4 linked regions of the Arabidopsis thaliana genome follow. The protein of the gene in region 2 interacts with the protein of the main gene of each other region in a pairwise test. Each region holds a gene or a part of one and is shown on either strand. Other genes may lie near its edges. The genes, in order: PFK7, AT1G13520, BCA4 and AT2G42490.

The links.
Region 1: the proteins of AT1G13520 (region 2) and PFK7 interact in a two-hybrid assay, tested with the Arabidopsis thaliana proteins (one large-scale study listed by BioGRID).
Region 3: the proteins of AT1G13520 (region 2) and BCA4 interact in a two-hybrid assay, tested with the Arabidopsis thaliana proteins (one large-scale study listed by BioGRID).
Region 4: the proteins of AT1G13520 (region 2) and AT2G42490 interact in a two-hybrid assay, tested with the Arabidopsis thaliana proteins (one large-scale study listed by BioGRID).

What each region holds. Positions count from the first base shown.
Region 1 is NC_003076.8:22,921,963-22,927,497, reverse strand, and holds PFK7 (phosphofructokinase 7), read right to left. Parts: upstream 3,695-5,535; 5' UTR 3,188-3,694; coding exon 3,086-3,187; intron 2,896-3,085; coding exon 2,849-2,895; intron 2,769-2,848; coding exon 2,729-2,768; intron 2,589-2,728; coding exon 2,388-2,588; intron 2,296-2,387; coding exon 2,137-2,295; intron 2,048-2,136; coding exon 1,994-2,047; intron 1,904-1,993; coding exon 1,705-1,903; intron 1,622-1,704; coding exon 1,359-1,621; intron 1,273-1,358; coding exon 1,072-1,272; intron 962-1,071; coding exon 770-961; 3' UTR 535-769; downstream 1-534. UniProt on the Arabidopsis thaliana protein: Catalyzes the phosphorylation of D-fructose 6-phosphate to fructose 1,6-bisphosphate by ATP, the first committing step of glycolysis.
Region 2 is NC_003070.9:4,631,108-4,635,141, forward strand, and holds AT1G13520 (hypothetical protein (DUF1262)), read right to left. Parts: upstream 2,193-4,034; 5' UTR 2,117-2,192; coding exon 1,797-2,116; intron 1,594-1,796; coding exon 750-1,593; 3' UTR 526-749; downstream 1-525. Other genes in the region: AT1G13530 (hypothetical protein (DUF1262)), read right to left, coding at 2,633-3,470, 3,600-3,711, 3,815-4,022.
Region 3 is NC_003070.9:26,533,294-26,540,226, forward strand, and holds BCA4 (beta carbonic anhydrase 4), read right to left. Parts: upstream 5,145-6,933; 5' UTR 4,824-5,144; intron 4,200-4,823; 5' UTR 4,165-4,199; coding exon 4,111-4,164; exon of another isoform or gene 3,225-4,110; coding exon 3,160-3,224; intron 2,890-3,159; coding exon 2,749-2,889; intron 2,403-2,748; coding exon 2,354-2,402; intron 2,109-2,353; coding exon 1,992-2,108; intron 1,912-1,991; coding exon 1,858-1,911; intron 1,462-1,857; coding exon 1,373-1,461; intron 1,225-1,372; coding exon 1,119-1,224; intron 1,042-1,118; coding exon 874-1,041; 3' UTR 531-873; downstream 1-530. Other genes in the region: AT1G70420 (DNA ligase-like protein, putative (DUF1645)), read right to left, coding at 6,547-6,933. UniProt on the Arabidopsis thaliana protein: Reversible hydration of carbon dioxide. Together with BCA1, involved in the CO(2) signaling pathway which controls gas-exchange between plants and the atmosphere by modulating stomatal development and movements. Promotes water use efficiency.
Region 4 is NC_003071.7:17,690,875-17,697,642, forward strand, and holds AT2G42490 (Copper amine oxidase family protein), read right to left. Parts: upstream 5,150-6,768; 5' UTR 4,653-5,149; coding exon 4,448-4,652; intron 4,236-4,447; coding exon 4,126-4,235; intron 4,043-4,125; coding exon 3,737-4,042; intron 3,640-3,736; coding exon 3,527-3,639; intron 3,447-3,526; coding exon 3,116-3,446; intron 3,033-3,115; coding exon 2,817-3,032; intron 2,743-2,816; coding exon 2,506-2,742; intron 2,243-2,505; coding exon 2,057-2,242; intron 1,868-2,056; coding exon 1,727-1,867; intron 1,396-1,726; coding exon 1,127-1,395; intron 1,034-1,126; coding exon 952-1,033; intron 861-951; coding exon 726-860; 3' UTR 533-725; downstream 1-532.

The sequences.
Region 1 (5,535 bases), on a different chromosome or scaffold from region 2:
TAGAAAGATAAAATGGTGTGTGTGTTTGATTACTTGTCGTTTAAGCATATTATTGCCCAGTTAATAAAGTTGTATTGTTACATTAGCTAATGTTAATGCTAATGTTGATACAAACGGTAATTGTATCTCGTCTGTCCTATTATAAACTAAAATGATATTTTCTTCTTTCATCTTCTGCTTTAAAAAATTTATTTATTATGGTCTGTCGTATTACACTATTACTTTTTTAACCAAAAAAAAGTATTACACTATTACTGAGATTTTTTTGCAAATTCAGTATCAGACAAATCATTATTAGACCAAGATTTGATCCAAACAAGTTATCAAATTCTCAATTATCAATAATAGAAACCTTCAAGAAAAAAAAAACACTTTTGACTGCATTAAATCATTCAGATTTAGCTTTCTCATTCTTTAAAAGATCAGTTACCAAAAAGAAACTTTTTGAAGTATCTATGTGTGAAAACAATTTAGCTCTCTTGCATCCTATTCTCTTCATTTTGAGTGTGAAAAAACATATACAAGAACAAATATAGGATCAAAGTAACGAAGATTATTACTTCATTCATTTATTCAGTTGTGGAAAATGCAAAAAGGATTACAAAACTAAACATCTAGAAGAAAACTAAAATTTGTGTTTGTGTTGTGTATGCACATACACAAAAGGGCAAATTCGTTAAAATAACAATTATTTCACTTTCGCCTGAAACGGCATCGGTTACAGAACCCTCTGAGTATACATATGCCATTATTATGCCCTGCAACTTCTTCACTTAGTGACCTCTTTAGTCACAGGAGGAATATCGACAGCTCCGTCGTCAAGAAGCGGTGTTTCCGGCAACTCTTTCTTCTCTTCAGATGTATCCTTAGGCCCCAAGAAACTTGGCTGGTTCGTAGAAGACAATAGCCTCGCCCACATTCTATCCGTAATCACTACATTGTTCTGGGTCTCTGTTATCCTCTGCAAGACAAACAAAAAAACAATGACACGATTCAGAATTGCTCACAAGTACACGATCAGATTCAATTCAGGACCATCCCGCACACATTAGATCTGTATTAGTAACTTACGTAGAAAGGGATGTATGTTTGTCTTCCATTGACAAGACCACTGGTGTAGCCAGTGTAACCAGCCATTGCACCATGAACCGCGCTCTGAGCAAGAAGTGTACAGTAAACATTGTCTGATGCATTACTTGGAACAGCCCGGATCATGTATGTAGGATCAATGTATTTGAGATTCATCACCATCTTATTCTTCTTAAAATGATCCTACAACAAGAGGAAATAAACCCTATGAGGAAATTTTCTGTAAAAGGCATAAGAATCTCATGATCTTGAAAGTTTTTAACTCTTACCTTGATGCTTTGTGATAGCCACAAGCCGACATCTTTAAGAAGTTTGTTCCCAGAAGCATCCATAGGAGTAGATTCCATGCTTTTGCACATCAAATCCTGTCCTGCACCCTCAGCAAGAACAATCACCATGTGACCATGATCCTTCAGCCGTCTCTCTATGAACTCAAAGAGTCCACCTTCTCCTTCGAGGTAAAATGGTGACTCGGGAATCAAGCAACAGTCAACATCTCTGCTGGCTAATGTAGCATACATCGCTATGTACCCTGTAGTACAACACCCGCCTAGCATTAGTCAGTAACAAATCGAAAAGGTCTTTTAAGTTGTATGTTTCAAAACAAAGACTTACCGCTGTAACGACCCATAAGCTTGACAAAACCGATACCATTCTCATTACTCTCGGCTTCAACATGTGCTGCGTTAATCGCTCGTTGAGCTTCCTCCACAGCAGTGTCAAACCCAAAAGATTTATCTATCACCGGAATATCATTATCAATAGTTTTTGGAATTCCAACCACAGCAACTTTTAGTCGACGTCTTCTAATTTCCTACATGGTTATATACAATCTAAGTTCAGTTGTTGATTGTTAAAACTTAAAACTTACAACTGTTATTCTGAAATATCACAATGGAATTACCTCAAATATTACTGAAGCACCTCGCTGGGTTCCATCTCCTCCAATAATGTAAACCTAAATGATAACAGATACTACATCAAGAAAAGGTTGACAAACTTTTTCACATACAACGTAAAAAGCAGTGGCTGTGTTTATTCCCTAACCTGATTGATTCCTCGATCTTGAATGCTATCAACTATCTTGTTGGTATCATGTCCACCTCTTGAGGTCCCAATGATTGTTCCTCCGCGTTTATGGATATCATTCACGACTTTAGAGTTTAAGGGGATAGTATTCTTGGCGTAAAATCCTCTGTATCCACCCTATAAGATTTCAACAAATGAGAATCGTTTGGACAATAGTTATGAAATCCAAAATGAAACCGAAGAGATTAATTATGATTCACCAAACTTACATCGATTCCAAGAATTCTCTTTACTCCATACATGTATGATAAGCTGCTCACAACTTCTCTAATCACGGTATTGAGACCGGGACAGAGACCTCCACATGTAACTATACAAGCATGCACTTCGTCAGACTCAAAGTAAACCTTTTGACGTGGACCAGCACGCCTGAAATGGACTCCTCTTGGACCATCCTTGTGAACAACAACCTAAATAACACGAAAATAAAACAGAGGATAGAAAAAGTGAGCCTTTTACTTTTAAAAATCTCACTTTCAACAAGACATGATCATCTAACACCATTCTTCAGACAATTACAGGTAAAAAAGGATTATGCTTGATAAATTACCTTCTCAGGGACACTATCATCAGCATGAACAAAGTATTGCCTGATAAAAAACATCCAAATGAGAACAAAAACTATGAACTTTAAGCAATGGAAACGTCTGAAATAGGTGAAGATACTTACTTAACCACTGAGTAAGCTGGATTGTCTTGCAATGGATTTGGATAAGTCTGCAATAACATCAAAACCACGAATTATCACCATTTTATTAAGAGTAAACCAGAAACAGATCAGAACATTGAAACCCAAAGCTAAAGATTCCTCCTTTGTTAACTAGACGATATCAGATTCGATCTCTTTGTGCAAATCGAGAAATTTTCAAATCAATTTAGAACCAATCAGAGATCAAGTGAAACATACAGGAAGATCAGGAAGGTAATCAATGAGATGAGGAACGTCTTGTAGAATATAACCACCAGGACCGTTGACAATCTTCGGCTTGTTACTTCTCGGACTAGACATAACGCTGACGATCAACAAATCAGATCAAACTCTCTCCACGAAGATGAAATGACAAATCGTGAATCAAACCCGTTGATCCAATATACTTGATAACCCAATTTAGAAGGAGAAAGAACAAATGAGAAGAGGTAAGAGAGAGAGTGAGAGACCAATAGAGACGAAGAAAGTTCTAGCTTTTCGAGATGGGGAATTTGATCGAACAGGTGGTGGGCATTAAAGTATTTGAAGAAAAATTAGTGAAAAGGAGAATAATTTTATATTATATACATACACACATTTACATGTATGTATATGTTAATTGGGTACAAGATTCTCGTGTATATAATATATAAAGCTGACGATCACAGTGGGGAAAAAAACCAACGTTTGAAACTTGGAGAAGATGATTCACATTCTTCTAGAACAAGACTTTATTTTTAAGTTTCCAATTATTGACAACGATTAATTTTGGGCCTTGAAAAACAAGTTCTAAATTTTAAAATGATTTTTTTTCTTTTTGGATTTTTTTGTGTGATATTTTCAGTATTTCAGATCTTTAGGAATATTCGGGTGAAAATCTTTTAAAGAGAGAAAGACAAATCCAATTTTGTTGTGTCGGCTAATCACTATTTTTTATGTTTTGTGTGTTAGTTTAATAAGTTTTCATTGATTTGCCGATTCTTTTGTTGTCAAGAAACTATTGCTGGTTACAAAGAGGTAACAAGATATAATAATTTTAAAAATGAAAATCAGAGTTGACAAAAAGTTATTAGTTCATAATGCTATCAGATGACATACTTGCTTAGTCGTTTTACATCTTTAAAACAATATATATGTGAAATATGTAACTGTATGATTCTTCATAATGTACTAAAATAATGCGTATTTGCCTGTCAATTCTCGAATCTGAATTAAAGTAGTAATAAAGTTGCATTAAATCTGGTCGTTGTTTTTACTGTTTCTTTAATACTATGACTCTCGCTAATGTCCCGAAAAAAAAAAAAAAAATAAAAAAAAATCCATATAACCCAAATATTAAATATTTTTTTTTTCGTAAATTAAACGTTACATAGTTTTTGGCTTTTTGCCATAAGAAAATAAATGTATTTAGTTTGCAGATGGATATGAAATTAATCCATCTCCTGCATAAGTACCCGTGAGTCCCATAAGGCTAATAGGACATAACGTATTGCATATACGTACCTACTCAGTCGGATATAAAATCAAATTTCTGAAATACGAATGAAGCTAATTGGATCTTTGCCAAAGCCCAATATTCAGTTACAGGTTGATAAATGGGTCATGCAGTGACCCAATAGTTGATTTAATAAAGGCCATGCACTGGCTAAGTTTTACAAGCAAAAGTTGAAAAAATACCATTTCGTTTCGAGTATAATGGACAACACCACACTAGTTTGAGTCATAATGTTTGAATCTTGATGGATATTTTAAAGACTTCTAGGCTCTTAATCATTAACAAGACAATATGAATATTTGCTGAATACTCGATTAATCCAAATATAATGGTTTGTTTACTTACTTACTACACACCATGGATAATGCTCTTATCAACTATAGTATGTATACTTGTGTTTTCGTAGCAGACTAATTTTTTTATTTTTTTAATAATAAAACTGAATAAGCACATTATCATACTCTTATCAATTTTTTCAGCTGATATCTATGTTTATTCTAGTCTCAGACGGTACTCTTATCTCCAGTAGATTTCTGACCTTTTTTCGTTTTTCATCTTTTCAAAGGAGAAGAAAAAATGCAAAACCTAATATAATCATTTAGATCAAATAAATGATGACCGTTTGATCTGTTGTTCAAACAAATCTGCGGCTAGGCCCCATCTCCCGACATCATCATTGGACCCACACCAGTGTAGGACCATTGGGTTCAAATCCCACAAGAATATGTTACATATTTCAAATAATGTGAAAGAAAGCAAAAAAGAAAAAGATTCTTAAAAACATGTGTTTGCCCTATAATCCAAAGAGATTATCCTTAAATGCTTTGTTTCCTATGTTCTTTTCCTGCGTTCTTTATTTTAAAAATATTGATAATCTTCTCCTAAATTAATCCGTAATTATGTTCAAAAACATTCAGAAGGTCAGAGAAGGTACCAGGTTTTATACTATTAAAATGGATGTACAAACAAATATTTATTTCAAACAAAAGAGCGAGATTCAACAGTTAATTAAAGCACAAGATTATTAAATAAAATCTTTAAAATTAGATTTTTATCTTTTTGATAAAAAGAAAGCCTTACATTTTTTACAGCTTGACTCCAACTAAAACTTATAAATATCTCACAATTCGTAATTTCCTTATATTGCTCAAAAAAAGTTGACATGGTCTGATAT
Region 2 (4,034 bases):
AAAAGTTACAAAATATAGTTGTGGTAGAGAAGCAACAAGAATCCTACAAGACAAGACTCAAATCACTAGAAAAAATAATCTCACTAGCGGCTCAATCAACATTGTTTTTTAAGACTTTTCCGAGATCTTTGACTTAGCTTTTATGGAAGTCCTTTTTGGCAGTTTTTAAATTCACATCACATTGTTTTTAAATTCTATCACGTAACTTAAGTTTTTATCTACTTTGAGTTCCAAATTATGACCATTAACTTCATAATTGTTCATTTGAGCAATCTGCAGAACAGAGGTTTTGTATTGAAACAGAGCCCCCAAAAAACAGAACTTGAAGCAGAATTTAAGAGACATCATAAAATTAAATAAATTATGGAGATATGAGAATCAAATTGGAAAAGCTCTCAATCTCACTTTCTCTTCAACTTATAAACATGTCTAAACTCGTATGTGAAGACTTTTAAATTGGTAGTAGAATCAAAACACGTTATCAGCAACTTTCAAAGAACTTGATTTATATTAAAAAAATGGAGGGCCATAGTTGTTGGAATGAGGGTTACAAGTTTACAATATTAAAAAAAAAACATTTAAGAAGAATGATCAAATAAATGATTCATAATTGAAATTTACGTGAATTTAAATGCGAACTTTTTTTTTTTTTTAATTACTACATGAAATTGCATAAAACTTATTCATTAAATTAATTATTGAACCAAAAGATGACACACAAAGAAACTGAACAAAGATGAATAAAAAACTCAATCCCACTTGCTCTTTAACTTATCAACATGCGTAAACTCATATGTCAACACCAAACTCCCATCCATTCTCTTCAATTCGAAGCTCTCTATCAATACCAAACATCGATAACTCTTCCAATGCGATGACCCGCCTTCAAATCTCTCTGATCTCTTAATGTTAGATCTTTCACCGTTGTTTAACCATCCGAACCTTTCCTCTTCCCATTTCATCCTCTCCACGACAACAGACCCAAGACCTATCTTCTTGTCTTGTCTCTCATCCCCTAAAACACTAAACCAAACAAATCCACCACCACTTGTCTCTCTAGAAATAGTTTCTTGTCCCTCAAGCTTTACCACTTGTGTTTCTACGTCAACATCAACTACAACCTCTCCTCCTTTTTGGTTGTAGTTAACGTTTACGCATGAGTAAACCTCTTCCCATCTTTGTTTAAGCGTCATGCTGTAATAAGGTGAGCTCTTAATCTGATCTTTTGCATCTCTTTCTTTCACAAATATGAAAGGAACATACCATTTCCCTACCACAACACTTGTATTCATATCGTTGGGAAGCTTGGAACGAAGCGTAGTGTTGATCCCTTTTGCATCATCTGTCAAACCAAAGTCTTGGGAATTCGAATACTCAACGGTCCAGTACTTTCTCTTAAGGAACTCTGGTGGTATCCCATTAGGAGCAACTGAAGTGGCAGTGTAATAGCCTGATGATGGTTTACGTTGATGGACCTCGAACTGTTGATATATATCATAAGGATCTGCTTCTTGTGGCTTAACTTCAGGAACATAGCTGAAGCAAAAGCAGCAGGGGACTCTGTCTTCTTCCTTTGCACTCGCCGAAGCTCCTCTGCAATCCAAAATTAGTTTTTTTTTAATGAATACCATTTGTGCAAGTCAGGTCAAAAGGGGTGGCCAATCCGGTCAAACCGAAACCATCCCAAGAAAACCAAACCCAAAAGCAAGTATCTCGAACCATGCATGACATAAATTGATTAAAACCTCAAAAAAACAAAACAAAGTCAAGAAAGTAATTAAGATTTTTGGCCATACCCTGATTGCTTCCCACGTCGTTTAATGACATAATAACGGTTCGAATAATAAGGCTGATCAAGAACCGGAATGAACAGAACCTGGTCATGGTAACTGCGCCTGTCATTACCAGTTCCGGTTCTGTAAGTCACAGTCAGCTTTGCGTTCTGTGGGAACGGTAAGCCTTTGAGTTCACCATCGTAGCAATTTCCAAAGCAACAAGTCGGTTTTGACTCTTCGTCTTGAATCACAAGTACGCCGGAGTTTGGACCTTCCGGCAACGATCGTGTCAAGTCCGACGAGTTTCTCTGGTATTCGGAGAGATGCCTTGTAACATACATCTTGAATTCAGAATCTTGATCAGGTTATTGATTAGAAGAGATATGATATGTTTATATATTGCACCATGTATTGAGGATAACGCGGTAAGCAAATTTTACAAGTTATCGTTTGAAGACTTTTCAAATTTTTTTACTTTATGGTTCAATTCAAACTTTAGAATTCCAAAGTTATGACCTTGACCTGGTTTCACAAACCTATCATGGAGAATCAATCAAACAAATTCTATATTTTCTTTATATTATGATTGACCTAACTATAAGGATCTGCTTCTTGTGACTTAGCTTCAGGAAGAAACTGAAGCAAAAGAAACAGGGGACTCTGTCTTACTCTTTGGCACTAGCTAATGCTTTTCTACAAAATAATTACAAAACTTTTGAGGTTTTTTTCCTTTTAGAGTATACACCCTTTTTGTGCAAGTTAGCTTCACCACATAACACATGAACTTGCATTAACCTTTCAATAAAATGAACACACCATAAATTGAACACATAACACACAAAGAAGCTGAAATAAAGTCAATCCCACTTACTCTTCAACTTATCAACATGTCTAAACTCATACGTCAATACCAAACTCCCATCAGTTTTCTTCAGTTCAAAGGTCTCTACCAGTACATAGCATCTATAACTCTTCCATTGTGGTCCACCGCCTTCAAATTTCTCAGTTCTCTTAATGCTAGACTTTAGTTCATTGCCTTTCTTCGACCACCCAAACCTCTCTTCTTCCCATTTCATCCTCTCCAAGACCACAGACCCAATACCTATCTTCTGAGTCTCTGAGACACCAAACCAGACAACTCCATCTGAATTCACACCTTTTGTCTCTCTTCCAATATTTTCTCCTTCAAGCTTAACCACTTCTGTTTCTACCTCCACATCAACTATAACCTCGCAATTTTTATTGTCAACGTTTTCGCAGAAGAAAACCTCTTCAAATCTTTGGTGAAGTGTCATACTATAATACATCGATTTCTTCATCTGATCTTTAGCATCTCCTTCCTTTACAAACAAAAACGGAACATACCATTTTCCAACTACTACACTCTTACCGAAATCGGGAAGCTCATAGCGCAGCTTTGCATCAACTACACCCTTTGCATCATCAATCAAACCATAGTCTTGGGAAGCAGAGAAAGGAACGGTCCAGCCTTTTCTCCTCAGGAACCGAGGTGGTATTCCATCTGAAGCAACAGATGTAGCGAAAAACTTGCGAGTTGATGAGCCTCTTTGATGTATCTCAAATTGTTGGTATATGTCAAAAGGATCAAGAAGCCTTGGCGTAGCATTAGAGACATAAGTAAAACAAAGGCAACAAGAAACTTTGTCCTCTTCTTTTGCACTAACACATGCTTCTCTGCAATACCAATCAAAGTTTTAAAAGATGTGAATTTAGGCCGCTAAACTATTAATCTTGGCTTAATTAAAACTAAAACGATAAACTTTGATATCTACATAACATGAGAAAGATTCAATAGAATCATACCCTGCATGTTTCCCTCTTCGCCTTATAACGTAGTAAAGATTGGAAGAAGGAGGCTGGTGAAGAACGGGGATGAACGCGACCGAGTCAAGCAAGACAATTCTGTCATCTCCATCTATGGTGAAATCAAAGCTTAGATAATAAACAGAGAAGAAACAGAAACAGAGTAAAGTAAAATGATTGACAGAAAGTTAGGAGTGAAATGACTAGTAACTAACGTCCGATTTGGTATTTAACGGTGACTCTTGTGTTCTGAGGAAACGGCAAACCATTGAGATCACAACCAAAGCATTTGCCAAAACAGCATGTAGGCTGTGATTCTTCGTCTTGAATCACCAATACGCCGGAGTTTGGACCTTCCGTTGGAAGGAAAGTAAGCTCCGATGGGTTTCTCTGGTACTCGGACAAACGCTTTGTTACATACATCTCTCCTTGATT
Region 3 (6,933 bases), about 22 Mb from region 2:
TAAGAGTCAAGACAATGGCATATCAAAACAACTGGTGAAGAAACTACGATTAATGAATGAAATAGACAACTTCAGAGAGGTGTTTGGTTAATGAAACGCTTACCGTAGCTTCTTCAATTTGGAACGCAAAAGTTTAGTGATTCTCTTGCAGTTAGATTAAATGGAAATAGAAATCATCATCGTTCGGCAAATCCCTAATATATAGAGAAGTCAATAAGTCGGCAATCACAATTGGGCCAATTTAGGTGGGCCTTTTCGTATTTAACTTGGTAAATGGGCCTCTGCAAATTCCCGTTTAGGAATCATATCATCTTACTATTACTTTTCTAGAAATATTCTATTTACAATAGTTACTCTTTTGAGTTCCTTTACTTATTTTGATAAATACATTTATATAAAGAAAATTCTAAATCAACTACTTTTAAATAGCAAAAAGTTAATAATTTTTTTTGCAACAACAAAAAAAAGAAGCTAATCTAAAACGAATAGTCACTACAATTTCGTTCTAGGTAATAGATGGGACAATGATACCGTATAGAAGTTTTTATGTAATAAAATTGTAATGATCAATGGCTTCAATGCCAAGAAGTTTTAACAATTAACATACACATATAATCTGGAAAAAGAGAGAAAGAAGGAAAGTTCAAATCTTCGTTCAAACATCAATTAGACAAATATAGAAGTTTCAAACGTTGGTTACAGCTTTATTGTTTGAGCTTTTGAAATAGAAGCAGCAAAGTTGAAGTTTTGAATTAACAAAAAGAAATCAAAGAAGTTGGAGAGGAATCATCAACATGAGAGAATGAAGAAAGATGAGTCAAAGTGTCTTTTTTTATCTCAAAAGAGTTTTATATGTTCCGGTAGCTTTCTTTCTTAAGAGAAGGCAAAAGCAGGAGTGGTCTTGAAATCGAGCTCCCAGAGATCAAACGTTCCTTTGACGAAATTGTAGTGACCTCCTCTTATTGCAAGTGTGTTCTTCACCACCTCAGCTCTCACGAATGGGTACGAAAGCAAGTTTCCAAGCGATACGTTCACAGCTTCCTGCACAAGATAACACATTTATTGATAAGCCATTTCTCAAGAACATAAGTAAACAGAGCAAAGATAGTTATTATTACCTTCTCACACTTGTTGCATTGATCATCGTAGCTCAAGTCTTTATGTTCCTCCTTGATCTTGTTCCTCGCTGATGCGCCTATCTTCACCCAATTTTCAATGAAGTCACTGCCATTGTTTAGAGGATTTCCATCGTGTTAGAGATCGATTAATCTTATCATCTCAAAGACTCAAACTTATCCCACAAGAAAGTCATATATCGAACAATCTTGATTCACAACTCAGGCTAAATCAAGATTAATGAGTTAGTAATTACCTTTGAGTTGGGGCAGCATCATCTTCAATGGACATGAGTCCCTTAATACCACCACAGCAGCTATGGCCTATCACCAAAATGTTCTCCACCTACAAATAAATTGATACTATTAAAAAAAGTGAACTGTTGACTCTGAATAAAAAAGTAGTTGCAAGTTGATGCATTAAGACCCATTTCTAATATCGAACATTATCCAAAAATGATTCAAAAAAGATAATCCTAGTGGCTAAAAGGAAAAGGAGAACAGGGTTTAGGTGGATGAAATGGGTCCAAATAACAGAGTGACTAGACATCAACTTTTAGTAAGAACCATGTGCAAGCAAAAATGCATAACAACGACTTAAAATAATGAGCACTATGAAAAGAGCCAAACTTTGGATGATTACTGATAAGTGATAACTTATAAGAATACTAACAAAGTTTGCTTATTTATTAATTCAATCTAAGTGTCTATCCTTAAAAATAGGTATATTTTGTTCATGTACCTTGAGATGTACAACTGCGTATTCAACGGCGGCGCCAACTCCAGAGTGTCTCTTCTGATAAATTATCAAAACCACTTTGGTGTTAGTTATTTGATCTCAGACAAGAACAAGAGTGAAATGGCTTGGTAATGAACCTGGTCAAAAGGTGGAACCATATTGGCTATGTTTCTGACAACAAAAGCCTCACCAGGTTGGAAATTCAAGATGTGAGATGGACAAACTCGAGAATCAGAGCAAGCAAACACCAGAAACTGCCATAATCAAAAAAAAAAAATCAACATCATTTTCAAATTCATTAACTCTATAATAAGAAAGTGGACCATCTTTGGTTCCAATAATTGTTTTTGCTAATTCATAAAGTCAAACATCATCGTTGGATTATTAAAAAGCTTGTCACACTCTTTTGTTCGTATTAACCTATTTTTTAGGTATTAGTCAAAGAAGAAAATAAGTAAATGAACAGAGAAAAAGAGAGAGATTTGAGAAAAGCTAAAACCTTTGGGGTCTGAGTCTTGGCAAGATGATTGAACAAAGTACTATTCTTCCTGAAAAAAATTATGAACAGAGAGATTTCATCAAAATCCATGAATCAACCTTAAAAAAAATTCAGAATTTCTTTTTAAAAAACCACCTTTTTATGTTTCTGTTATTGCATATACTAATTGGAATATACCTTCTTAATACAATTTAATTAGCTTTTAATCACCTTTTTTTAGCACTATCACATGAATAAAAACAGTAATGCTAAGTGAATAAGAAAAAATAAAGGTAGGTTTATCATTAATGGACCACTCCACCGTCATGAAAATTCTTCTTTACAGAACAAAAACGAATTTAATTATATTCTTTTCCTTAAATAACGTTAAAAAGTTTAGTAATTTAAATACTTACAAATATTTCTCGGTTTTGAATTGAGTAAAACCGGTCTTGATTCGTTCAATTGCGTCTGAATTGCTTGAGTCAAGCTCCTTTAGCTCCGCCGTCAACGCTTTGATCTTCGCGGCGGCGACGTTTCCGAGATCCGCTTTCGTACTGTAAAAAAAACGCGGAAATGTGAAACTTTTTTCCCAAGGTAAGTTGATCCAACGGTCAGGATCTGTCGTACGTGTACGGATTCCAAAATGTTTGGTCATGAAGAAAACACAAACGCGCAAATCAAAAGAAAACAAAAAACTCTGATTTTTTTTTCCGATTCAACGCTTTGATTTTGGCGTTGATTATGGAGAAATTGTGGGAGGAAAAAAAAGAGGAATATGCCGACACTTTCTAATGATGGTACTATGAGTCAGAGAGAGTGTGTACCTGAGAAGATCATTGAGTCCTTTAATGGCGGCTTCGTACGATTCCGTTGCCATTTCGTCTTTTTCCTAATGAATACAAACAACAACAAGTAATTTTAATCGGTGAAATTTGACGATGTTGAAACATGAAAATTGGATCTGATGAGAGAAACCTTAAAGGATCACAAAAGCAGAGGAGGTTTTTTTTTTCTTTCTCTGGAGAGTAAAATCCTTATCGAAGAATGTGAAATCAGTTAATGCAGTAGTAGTAGAGATGGATATTGGTATTTATAGGCCTAGAGCTCTATTATGCCATTTGGTTCTACTCTTACATTTTCTTTTTTACAAGGGAAAAAAAAAAGAAACTCCACAAAAATGGGAAGGTTTATATTATATTAAAAAATCTTTTTGTGGGATGGTGATTTGATAAAACTATTTTAAAATTTTGGGGTGAAATGGTTTTGATTGAGGAGGAATAATTAAGCATGTGGCTGTATGTCTCGGTACTGATTAAAATGAAATTATAAACCCATTTGAATTTCCAAGTACATTTTTTTTATAAATGCAAATTTCATTCGAATGTCTACATTGACTAGAATAGTTTTTTTCTACCTCATTTGACCAAATAAATGATCTCGACTTGAAAAGTAAACGCAGGGCAAAAAGCATATGGTAGTAAGTAGTAATTTTTATTTTGGTGAAGGCAAATTGGTCTGCGTCTTTTCCGATAGGCCGGTGGCCAATGACAAAGCAGGATAAGTCAACCAAGGCAAGCCTTACAGGCTGACACGGTCATGTTTTTAACGGACTTGCCAGTTGGCATCTACGCGTCACCAGTTTACTTAATTATTACTTTCTCTATATACATTTCGTCACTTTATATACATACTATAATCTAATAATCCTCTCGAAGTTTCAAAAATAGCTTGAGTATTTTTCTCATAAGCAAATTTGAGTTGTTGCTGGGACTTACCGGGGAGGTTTTAGCGCAGCAGAACATGAAACATTTTCCGAATGCAGGAGCCATTATAAATGATCTCTTCCTTTGCTTCTCCTACCAACCTGTCCAGTCCAAACCCGTAATCTTATTATTACAAATACATCTAAAAATAAAGTATAGGAGTTTTCTCATTGTTACTTACAATCGACTACATTATTAACTACTCACGTCGGCATTCAATTTATTAAATTCATAACTGAATTATAATTTTATTATATTCTGAAGACTAATAATGCGATGGCTGAATCACAACAAATTAAAATAGATGGATGATCTAAATCCGGAATGGTTCTCTGACTCTTTAGTTCCATATATAAAATATTCCTTTATACATATTTTCAAACTTTTTTGGGGCTTAAAAATGCTCAAGTAACGCAAGCTGGCTTTTCATTGGACCGTAAGGTTCATTTCCATCAACCATTATTGTATATGACTATACTCATTGCCATGAATAATTCAAGTTTTATTCTATCATATTAAGTTCTAACGTATTTTGGGAAAAAAATGCTCATTAATTGTCAACAAACAAACCATACACTTCTTAGTTTTTCAAACATGAACTTGAAATGAAGTTTTTGTGTTCTCCTTTTAGTGTGGAAAAATGGATTCAGTTTTTTAGTATAAAAAAGGGTTTTGGTAATCGACAATAATTAAATTAAAAAGAAGATAAATTACGAATGAAATACCTAAATGTTAGGGGAAGAAGAAGCTCTTGGTAAGGCTCTTCCTAGCTCTTCGACAACCCTATGGACGTGGTAACAGTTTGAAGATGATGAGGCAGAGGATTTTGGGAATTGAAATAAGTAAACAAATAAATAAATAAAAATCTTAATTTATATGGGAAGAAGATTGGATATGGGTTTTTGGATTTTCGAGGTTTCAAGGAATTATGACGACCGTTCGAGCAATGTGGGGGTTTCTGTTATGGGATAGAGAAAGCGAAAGGTGAGTGAAGCTGGACTTCTTCTTCTTCTTCTTCTTCCATGTTTTTTCTTTTTATTTGTTTCTGCTGTTTATTTAGTAAAAATCATAATAAGACCTGTAAATATTTATTGACATTATGAGAAAACACTAAAACTATGCTAGAAGATAATCTCATGAGATTTTATTCTTTTTATATGCTTTCATATTTATTATAACTTGTTCTACTATTTAAAGTAAATTCACTAATATAACAAAAGTTAAAATCAAATTTCTATAACAGACCATTTATTACTTTTAATAATTATTTGTCAACAGTTCTACTAATTATATAAATTTTGTATATCTTTTGGATCTAAACTAATGTATGAACGAAGTAGTGATGAAATTATTATCCAAGACCTGAAATCTGTTTCGCTTCGAAAATTAGACTATATAAATTCAGATCAGGATAGCATAAATTTATGGTAATGTTGTAATTTCATGACTAGCCGTTAATAGGGCTTGCAAGTTGCACCTCTCATTCATGTAATGGACTATTAGATTTAAAACAACCCAAACCAAAGATAACTTTAGCGACACTACAAATTTTCATGTAATGGGCTATTAGATTTAAAACAACCAAAATTGCTAATTTTCACAACCAGTACTTTTTCTTGGGCTTGATGTTTCAATTCATGCCCCATTCATCAGCATAAACTCTCACTTGACTTCAAATACCTTTCGATGATGAATGGGGCATGACTATTTCTGAATGGTGTTAGTCACCTGGACCCGAATTATAGGCCTATCATTCTTACTTTGGCCCAAATATTTATCTGGCCCTCTTACATATAATATAAGCACTTTTAAAGCTATAGCTGTATGTACTCTTGTATTAGGAGGCATATTGAGTTTGGTGTGATGTATAATGTGTAATGTGTTGTCACTTGTCACTACCAATACAGGTTTGTACTTTTACTATGTTTAAATAATTTGATACCTAACTTAATAGTGTCGGTAAACAGAAGTTGTAAAAACTAAGCTATCAAAAATAAATGCCTCAGGAAATCATTTATAGCCATCTCTAAAAATGTGTGTTTACATATCTGCGGCCATCGTTAATCAATTAGATAGAGATAATATATTGCCTAAAAGAACAAGTTTTACTTTATTCCAGTAAAAAATTAATTCCTACTTTCAAAATAAAAAAAATAAAAAAATTAACGTGCGGACAAATTTTGATATACCAAAATATATTATTGACAAACTTAAATTCCAAAAAAGATCGATGAATCTTTTCTCTACTACTTTCAAAATCAAAAAATACTTTACATCAAAGAAGAAAAAAAACTAATCAAATGATACAAACGAAAAGTTAATAAGTAAAGTTTCACTTTTACTTACAAAAAGAAGGTTTTATAATACACAGAAACCAAAAAAAAGGTTAGATATATACAAAAGGCAAAGATTTGTCGGTAGAGATTTTGGTACGACAGATCGGTTTAATCAATAGGGATGAACATTTCTGGTTAAACCATTAACATTAGTGAAGAACCCAACATGTTTATACGGAAGATACGATCTTCGTTTCCCTTCTTCTCTCATTGCTCTGTTTCTCATATACAATTTCTCATGTGCCGATTTCGTTCTCATCTTATCCTTCTTCTTATCCGTCTTCGTTTTCTCTTTCCCTTTCTCCGACGACTTCACCACACCACTCAATCTCGCCGCCGTAGACGACGTCGACGATGTAGATGAAGAGCCGTTGCTTAAAAACACAAACGCATCTTTTCCATCACTGTTACTTCTCAAAACAAGATCTCTAAATCTCCATAGCTTTGAGAACCCTGTTGAGTTACTTTTCCGACAAGTCTCTGGTGATGCTTGCTCCAC
Region 4 (6,768 bases), on a different chromosome or scaffold from region 2:
TGTTTTTCTTTGGGTTTTAGCTAAGATTTTTAGGCTATATGAATTGCATTTGGTTTGGACTATATGTTATCTGTGTGGAATCGAATCAAAATTATCAATCTGGTTCGTCGGAGTTGGATCAATTGTGGAAGTGACAATTGCTAGTTTGTCGTTTGTGTTTTTAATTTCGGTTCGATTTACATGGTTTTGAAAAATTCAATTGATTTCGGTTGGGTTTGAATTGGAATTAAAGGAGAAAAACACTGAAATCACGCACTCGAGGCTTTTTTAAAAAAGAGCGAGTGTGTTTCAAAACAAGCCATTTGGTGGGTTAGAACCCTCAGAAAACGTAGACACGCCCTCAACACGCGATTAGTGAGAGTGGGTGTGAAATCACGTAAAAGGTGAGAATGGGGTATGACATGGAGCGCTCTGATTGGCTTATAAAATGAAAATAGTAGAGATGTTGCTCCTCTCTTCCAATGTTTATATTTATTTGCTTCTCTTTTCCAAAGTATGAAACTAATGCAATTCATAGAAGAACACACACACCAAACACGAAAATAAAAGATTCAAATATGAAATTTTAATAGAAATATTCCAATGACAAAGGTCTTTTTAGTCTTGCAAACACACACACCAAACACGAAAATAAAAGATTCAAATATGAAATTGTTCTTAACCAACAGCAACGCCTCCAATTTTTTAAGAGATCAAAGAAAGAAAACAAATGATATTCATATTCTTCAAAGCTTTGAAAGTAAACCAGTCTGAAGAGCTTTCGGTGCTACAACCTCTTTGACTTCACTCTCCTTAGTCTCCAATTCGCATGGATTCGGTGGCACATCTACTGCCGGTGAGCAGTTGAAAAATCCATGTGGCTGTATTTTACCCAAAACCCAAAACATTTTTTAACCAATCCTTTGTAAGGTTTTTTTTCCATTGAAAGTTACAGTCAAAGATTTAACTTACCATTAGTGTGAAACCAATATGTTCGACGGGCATAACCGGCCAATCTTCAAGTCTAGGAACATGTGTGATCCCAAACACGTACCTGGTGACAAATGAAAATTCCACATTGAAAGTCACATAATTTGGTAAGTAGTAGTTTTTAACTGAATCAGATAAGTAAAACAAGGATACAGACCAAAGAACGACGTCAGATTCTTCCAAGGAGCGATTCTGTTTCACCCATGTGGCAAGACCTTCACCAGCCCGTGGGTTTTGGTTTGGGAATTCTCCTCCAGGAAACTTCTCGTCTGGGGCGTAACGGGTAACCCAGAGATTATGCTTCAGGAAAGCGGCTCTTCTTAGAAACTTCGCCTCGGGTCGAGCTAATGGCAAACAATTTGAACCCGGAACAAGTTTGTATCCCGTTAATTGGCCCGTCCTGTTTACAGTCCTTGTGTTCCTTACCTGATAACACATTACAATGATTTGTGTTGAATATACATCTTGCGTGAGTATACCATCTATACTTCAGCTACAAATCATATTCAATGAAACTCTGAGATGATTTTTTGGTAAAGGAACTCAAGTATGAGACTATATAAACACATGACTGAAACTTAGGGATGCTCAGGTGATCTCTTATCCCAAATCCAGTCTCAAGGATGAGACTAGTAGATAGTCAAGGATGAAAGAAATATAAACAAGGATATTACAGAGACGGGTACGAGCACTGACAATGTGAAAGTTAAACATGCAATAAATGGACGAGAACATGCAAGGTACGGTTTTTGCTTACAATCCAATGGCGAGCAGAAAGAGGGTCACAGTCACGCATCGCCACTGCCTCAGATTTAAGTAACTTCTCTTCCGCATAAAACGCATTGTTGTGGACATTGTTCTCACCTCGCTCGTCAACTCTAACATTTACCTCAACTACCTACAGATAAAAGTGGATTAAGCTGACTATTGAGCAAAACCAGCTGACAACATGTATCTAAGATTTTTTTTCAAGAACTATAGGGACTTCTAAAATTCATATGCTACCAATGCCATTCCTAAATACTGAGAAAATAATCCGCATATGTAAGTAAATAACAAGAAGAAGAGCAGCATCATAAAAAGGTACCTGATTAAAAGCTTCAGCAGGTTTACAGTCAACAGACATATCCATGCGAGCGATAAAGAAATGTTGATGGACTGGTGCATACAACCCAGGAGCAATAGTAGTACCGTACTTTCGAGTTTCACCTGGCTGCAGAGCTCCTAAACTGAGGATACCAGTAAGTTTTACTTCAGCTTCGATTTTCCCATCCTACAGTAAGACATTCAAGACATAAAATGATATTGGTCTTCAAATATCTAGAAAGATGAAACTACAAATCAGAAAACAAATGAAACTCGGATTCAGCACTGTAAATCAATGTCCTCAAGTGAAAAATCACAAGCAAAGTGCCACTAAACTCAGGATTTATTCTCATGCGGAGACACATCATTTGTCTTCCCTATAGAAATTAGATGCAAATATGACTAATATCTGCTTTACTCAAGAAATGAAGAATCACGTATTCCACTAACCTGGTAGAAGTGCCAGTAAAACCCATACTCGTAGTTGGCAACAGTACATAGAAAAGAGACAGTTAGTCTCCTAGATCTTCGCACTTCGGCTAATCCTGTTCTCCAGTCCTGATGTTTCCACAAAATCCCATGATCTTCTTCATGCAAGCAAACACAGTTCTCAATTGTTTCAACTCCTCCAGTGAAATTTGTGAAATGGGCATCGAAGTACTTGATAGATCCCAGACAGTCACACCCCTATAAAAACCGATTGTTAAACACAAACTGAGATCTGAGTGGTAAGAACACCAAAAAAAAAACTGATGTCAAACCTTCTTAAGCGAATGTGCGTTTTTCCCGAGACCATCCTCCCCTGCATCAAAAGCATTTTTCCTGTAATGTGGCTCATTAGGATCGCCATAAGGCACAACCATTTCCACAAAACTTAGCCTGTGTGCAACAGGCCTTCGACCTCGACTGCCATCAACATATGCTACCGAATGTATGACTAAACCTTCCCTTGGAGTGAATCCAATACGAAAGTTCCACTGTAAACAAAATGTTGAGCCAATTTAGAAATAAGCTTAAGCATAATCACTTGGTTTCAAGTAGGCTATTACTGGAAATCTACCTTCTGCCACTCGACAAAGTAACCCCTTACACGAAAACTTGGACCTTCAGGCTGAATAATCTGGAGAGGCTTAACATCACTTCTATCAACACCCCCTCTACTTTCACCTGGGGTATAATTCCTCAAAGGGTCAGGTGGGGGGAGTGGCACAAACTTACGGTCTTCAAATTCAATCACCACCATGTTTTGCATGTCTACAAGTACATAAATGCCCTCAACTGGACGAGCATATCCATTTTCCATAGGGGAATCACTATCAGTCCGACAGTATATAAGGGGCTTTGCAAGCCTACGACTAGGAGCGTCAGCCTCACTGTGATAACCCACACACCTGCACAATACATTAAGAGGTAGGCTCAGAGAAGAAGTACACCTTAATTGTCAACAGAAACGATGATGTTGTTAACATACCAGGGATCAACCATCACTAGATCCATGTCTTCAATACCTCTCCTCTTCATTGCCTCTATGAATGGTGGGAAGTCTTTGACAATCGCTTCACATTCAGCATATTCAGCCGCATCCTAAAATCAAAAGAATCTAAACTTAGAGACTGGCAAACAACGGTAGCATCTAAAAGTCACTTAGAGATCCAATTCCTTAAAACATAGTTTAACATACCATGGGTGGCTGAACATCAGGTATAACTTGTGAGGAAACAACTCTTCCCCTGTGATGTCCACCCCGAGTGACAGCATGAACTTCAGACAATGCCACAATCCATACACTTGTCTCATTAGACTTTTGGTTGTAAACAACAAGTCTAGCTCGCCTTGGAGGGAGCTTCATCGGAATCACAGGTCCAGATTTAGTTCTTGGAAGTAGTGATGGCTGGAACGGTGGGAAAAAGTAAGCATCAGCGAGCGCCACAACTTGTTTATCTGGTTCCACTGATGCCACCTCAATGAAACGCATGCCATCCCTAACCTGCCAAAGAAAAAGTAAAACAGTTTCAGTGACAATGTTATCAAGCATTCTGCATTTGTCAAGAATCAAGTAAGTTTGCGCACCTCAGGATTGGCACCAGCTGCGCGAACAGTCGCCACAGCAACTGATATTTCTGCAGCAGAAAGAGGATCCAATGGGTGCTTGGTTTCAGTCCTTGGCATCACAGAAATCCCTGCATTGGTGATCACAACAGAAAATCAACTTCACAGAAACCACAATAGTGATCACAATTAGATCTCAATCAGAAGCCATCAAGTAGACAAGAACCAATTTCACAAAAAGTAACCATCATCAACAAATTCCAGTAAACAAGAAGTCAAGTAATTCAAACGAATCGCGAGCTAACATCAGAAGAATGAAGGACGATCAACGATCAAATCAAACCTTTGTTGGCAGGTTTCTTGGCAGTATTATCAGGAAACGAATCGACAGGGCGGATAACGGATTCCAAAGAAACTTTAGAGGCTCGCTGATCGTCAGCGTCGGACCATACAGCAACGGTATCGGGAGCAGCGGAGACGAGTTTGGGAGGCGGAAGAGAGCCACCGTGGTGAGGACATGCCGACGTCTTTTTCGAAGCTGAGGCCATTGAATAGGGTTCACAAGTTCTCCAAATCCACCAAAATCAGTTTCAACACAATCCACTGACATACAGCAAAACCTATCACTATCCGTCGCTTGATCTTCCCCCTTCTCTCCACTTCTAGAAGCTCCAAGAAGAAGAAGAAGAAGAAGATTCCGATCTCCGATGATGACACAAAAATCCACAGCTACTACTACTAGTACAGTCTTCTCTCTCTCGACTTGAGCTCCGTCACAAGAAGTTGGATTCGTCACCGGATCTTGAGTTCTCCGTGATCGTATAATCGCTCTTCAATTTGTTTGTTTTTTTAAAGAGTTTGATTTTTGTTGGAGAGTCCAAGCAGAAGCGGCCAAAGCCTTATTTGTGGGCTCTCCTACTTTTTAACAAGTACCTATTTATATTTTTTTTTAAAGGTCTAATTATTTGTTTTAGAAAGAAATCCAACTTGGATAACGACGTGGATGCACTATTGTTCATGAGTTTCTCAATTTGTAATTTACTATTTGGAAATATATATTATATGTGTCTAATTAGAGTCAAACATATTTTCCATTTGAATTTTTTAAGTACTAAATATATAAAACTGGAAATTAAAATATAGGTAAGGAAAATATTGGAAGTTCTTATCTAAGGAGTTTTAACAAAGGTAAAGTATATAGGATGATGGAAATAGAAAAATATGACAATTGACAGACTACATAAGGTTATATGTCACTATCCGAAAATTTATTTCAAAATAAAAAAATTGGGAAAAAATTAACCAAAAAAAAATGAAACATATATGTTTTGTTAAATAAGTTTGACGTGTTTCACCAAAATTCTACACGCATAATTATTATTCTTATCAGGTTTATGCTGTTATTGGACACTACATTGTTTTAAGAAGTAAGCAGAATGGAACATAGCCAAAAAAAAAACATGAATACAACCAAAATAGTCTTATTAACTTGAGTTTGAGGTGTTTCACCAAAACTTGGAGACAATTGATATGATATATACTTTTAGAGCAGTATATTAATTATTAGATCCTGACAGATATTATAGAAAATATGTATGAAAACAAAAAAAAACGAATTGGTGTCGTTTATGTTTTATCACATAAAAATCACAAGAAGCTTATAAAATTACAAAAGTTACTAATCAAAGTGTTTTGATATGTTATGGTTTTAAGATTGTAAAATACAAATATAGTGCATGATATATAAATATATGTATATAGTTGTAATAATTAGATCGTGGAGTGGACCGCATAATCCATGCAATATCGACCACCAAAGAACCGCTGTCTACAACTAGTGGTATTACGAGGCTCACATTATTTATGAAATTCACGAAATTAAAAACTCTTCATTCGTCCATGACTCCATAATCTAGTTTAGCCTTACATAGTCCATGACTCCATATTCTGTCATCACAGTTTATATATTATTGTCTTCGGTGCGAAAACACGTCATGTTAACGTAGACTATTGAATTACACTTTGTTTTCTAGTCTTTGGTTTGTTTTGTTTCTTGTGAAACCTTCAATAGTAGGCAAAACGTTTAGAATTCCAATATAAACTGTTCTCTTTTGATGAATGAATACATAAGATTTTGGTCTATCACATTGTTCTCAACTATATTGTTCATTGTTTTTTTATGTTTTTTGGCTAAGAACTATATTGTTCTTTGTTGTTAAGCAAATGTATTACTTATCTTATTATTTCTTAGATATCTTTTGTCATTACTATGGATTTGCCTTTGTATGCCTTGTTGCGTTTGGTAAAGATCAAACTCATACTCTCTGGTTTTGTTCAGTTACTGATAGAAACAAGCACCAATTCTTGATTGACCAAAGAAAAGTCCCGAGAAAGTAGAATGTGTTCCCTTTACAACAACCTTTAACCTTCTACTTCCCACAGCTACTTTGTATTTAGACTGGATTACGACTCTATACATTAAAACACTTGTCTATCCAGCTCAGCACCAACTCAGGAGCTTTCTCATTGAGCTCTTCATTTAGAGGTCTATCAATTTGCTCCTTCCAGTCTGCACTGAGTCTCAATGTTGTTCTTTATTTATCTCATTCTCAATGCAATAGCCATGAGTACAACAAAGCCTTCAATGCCGTTAGATTGCAAGTC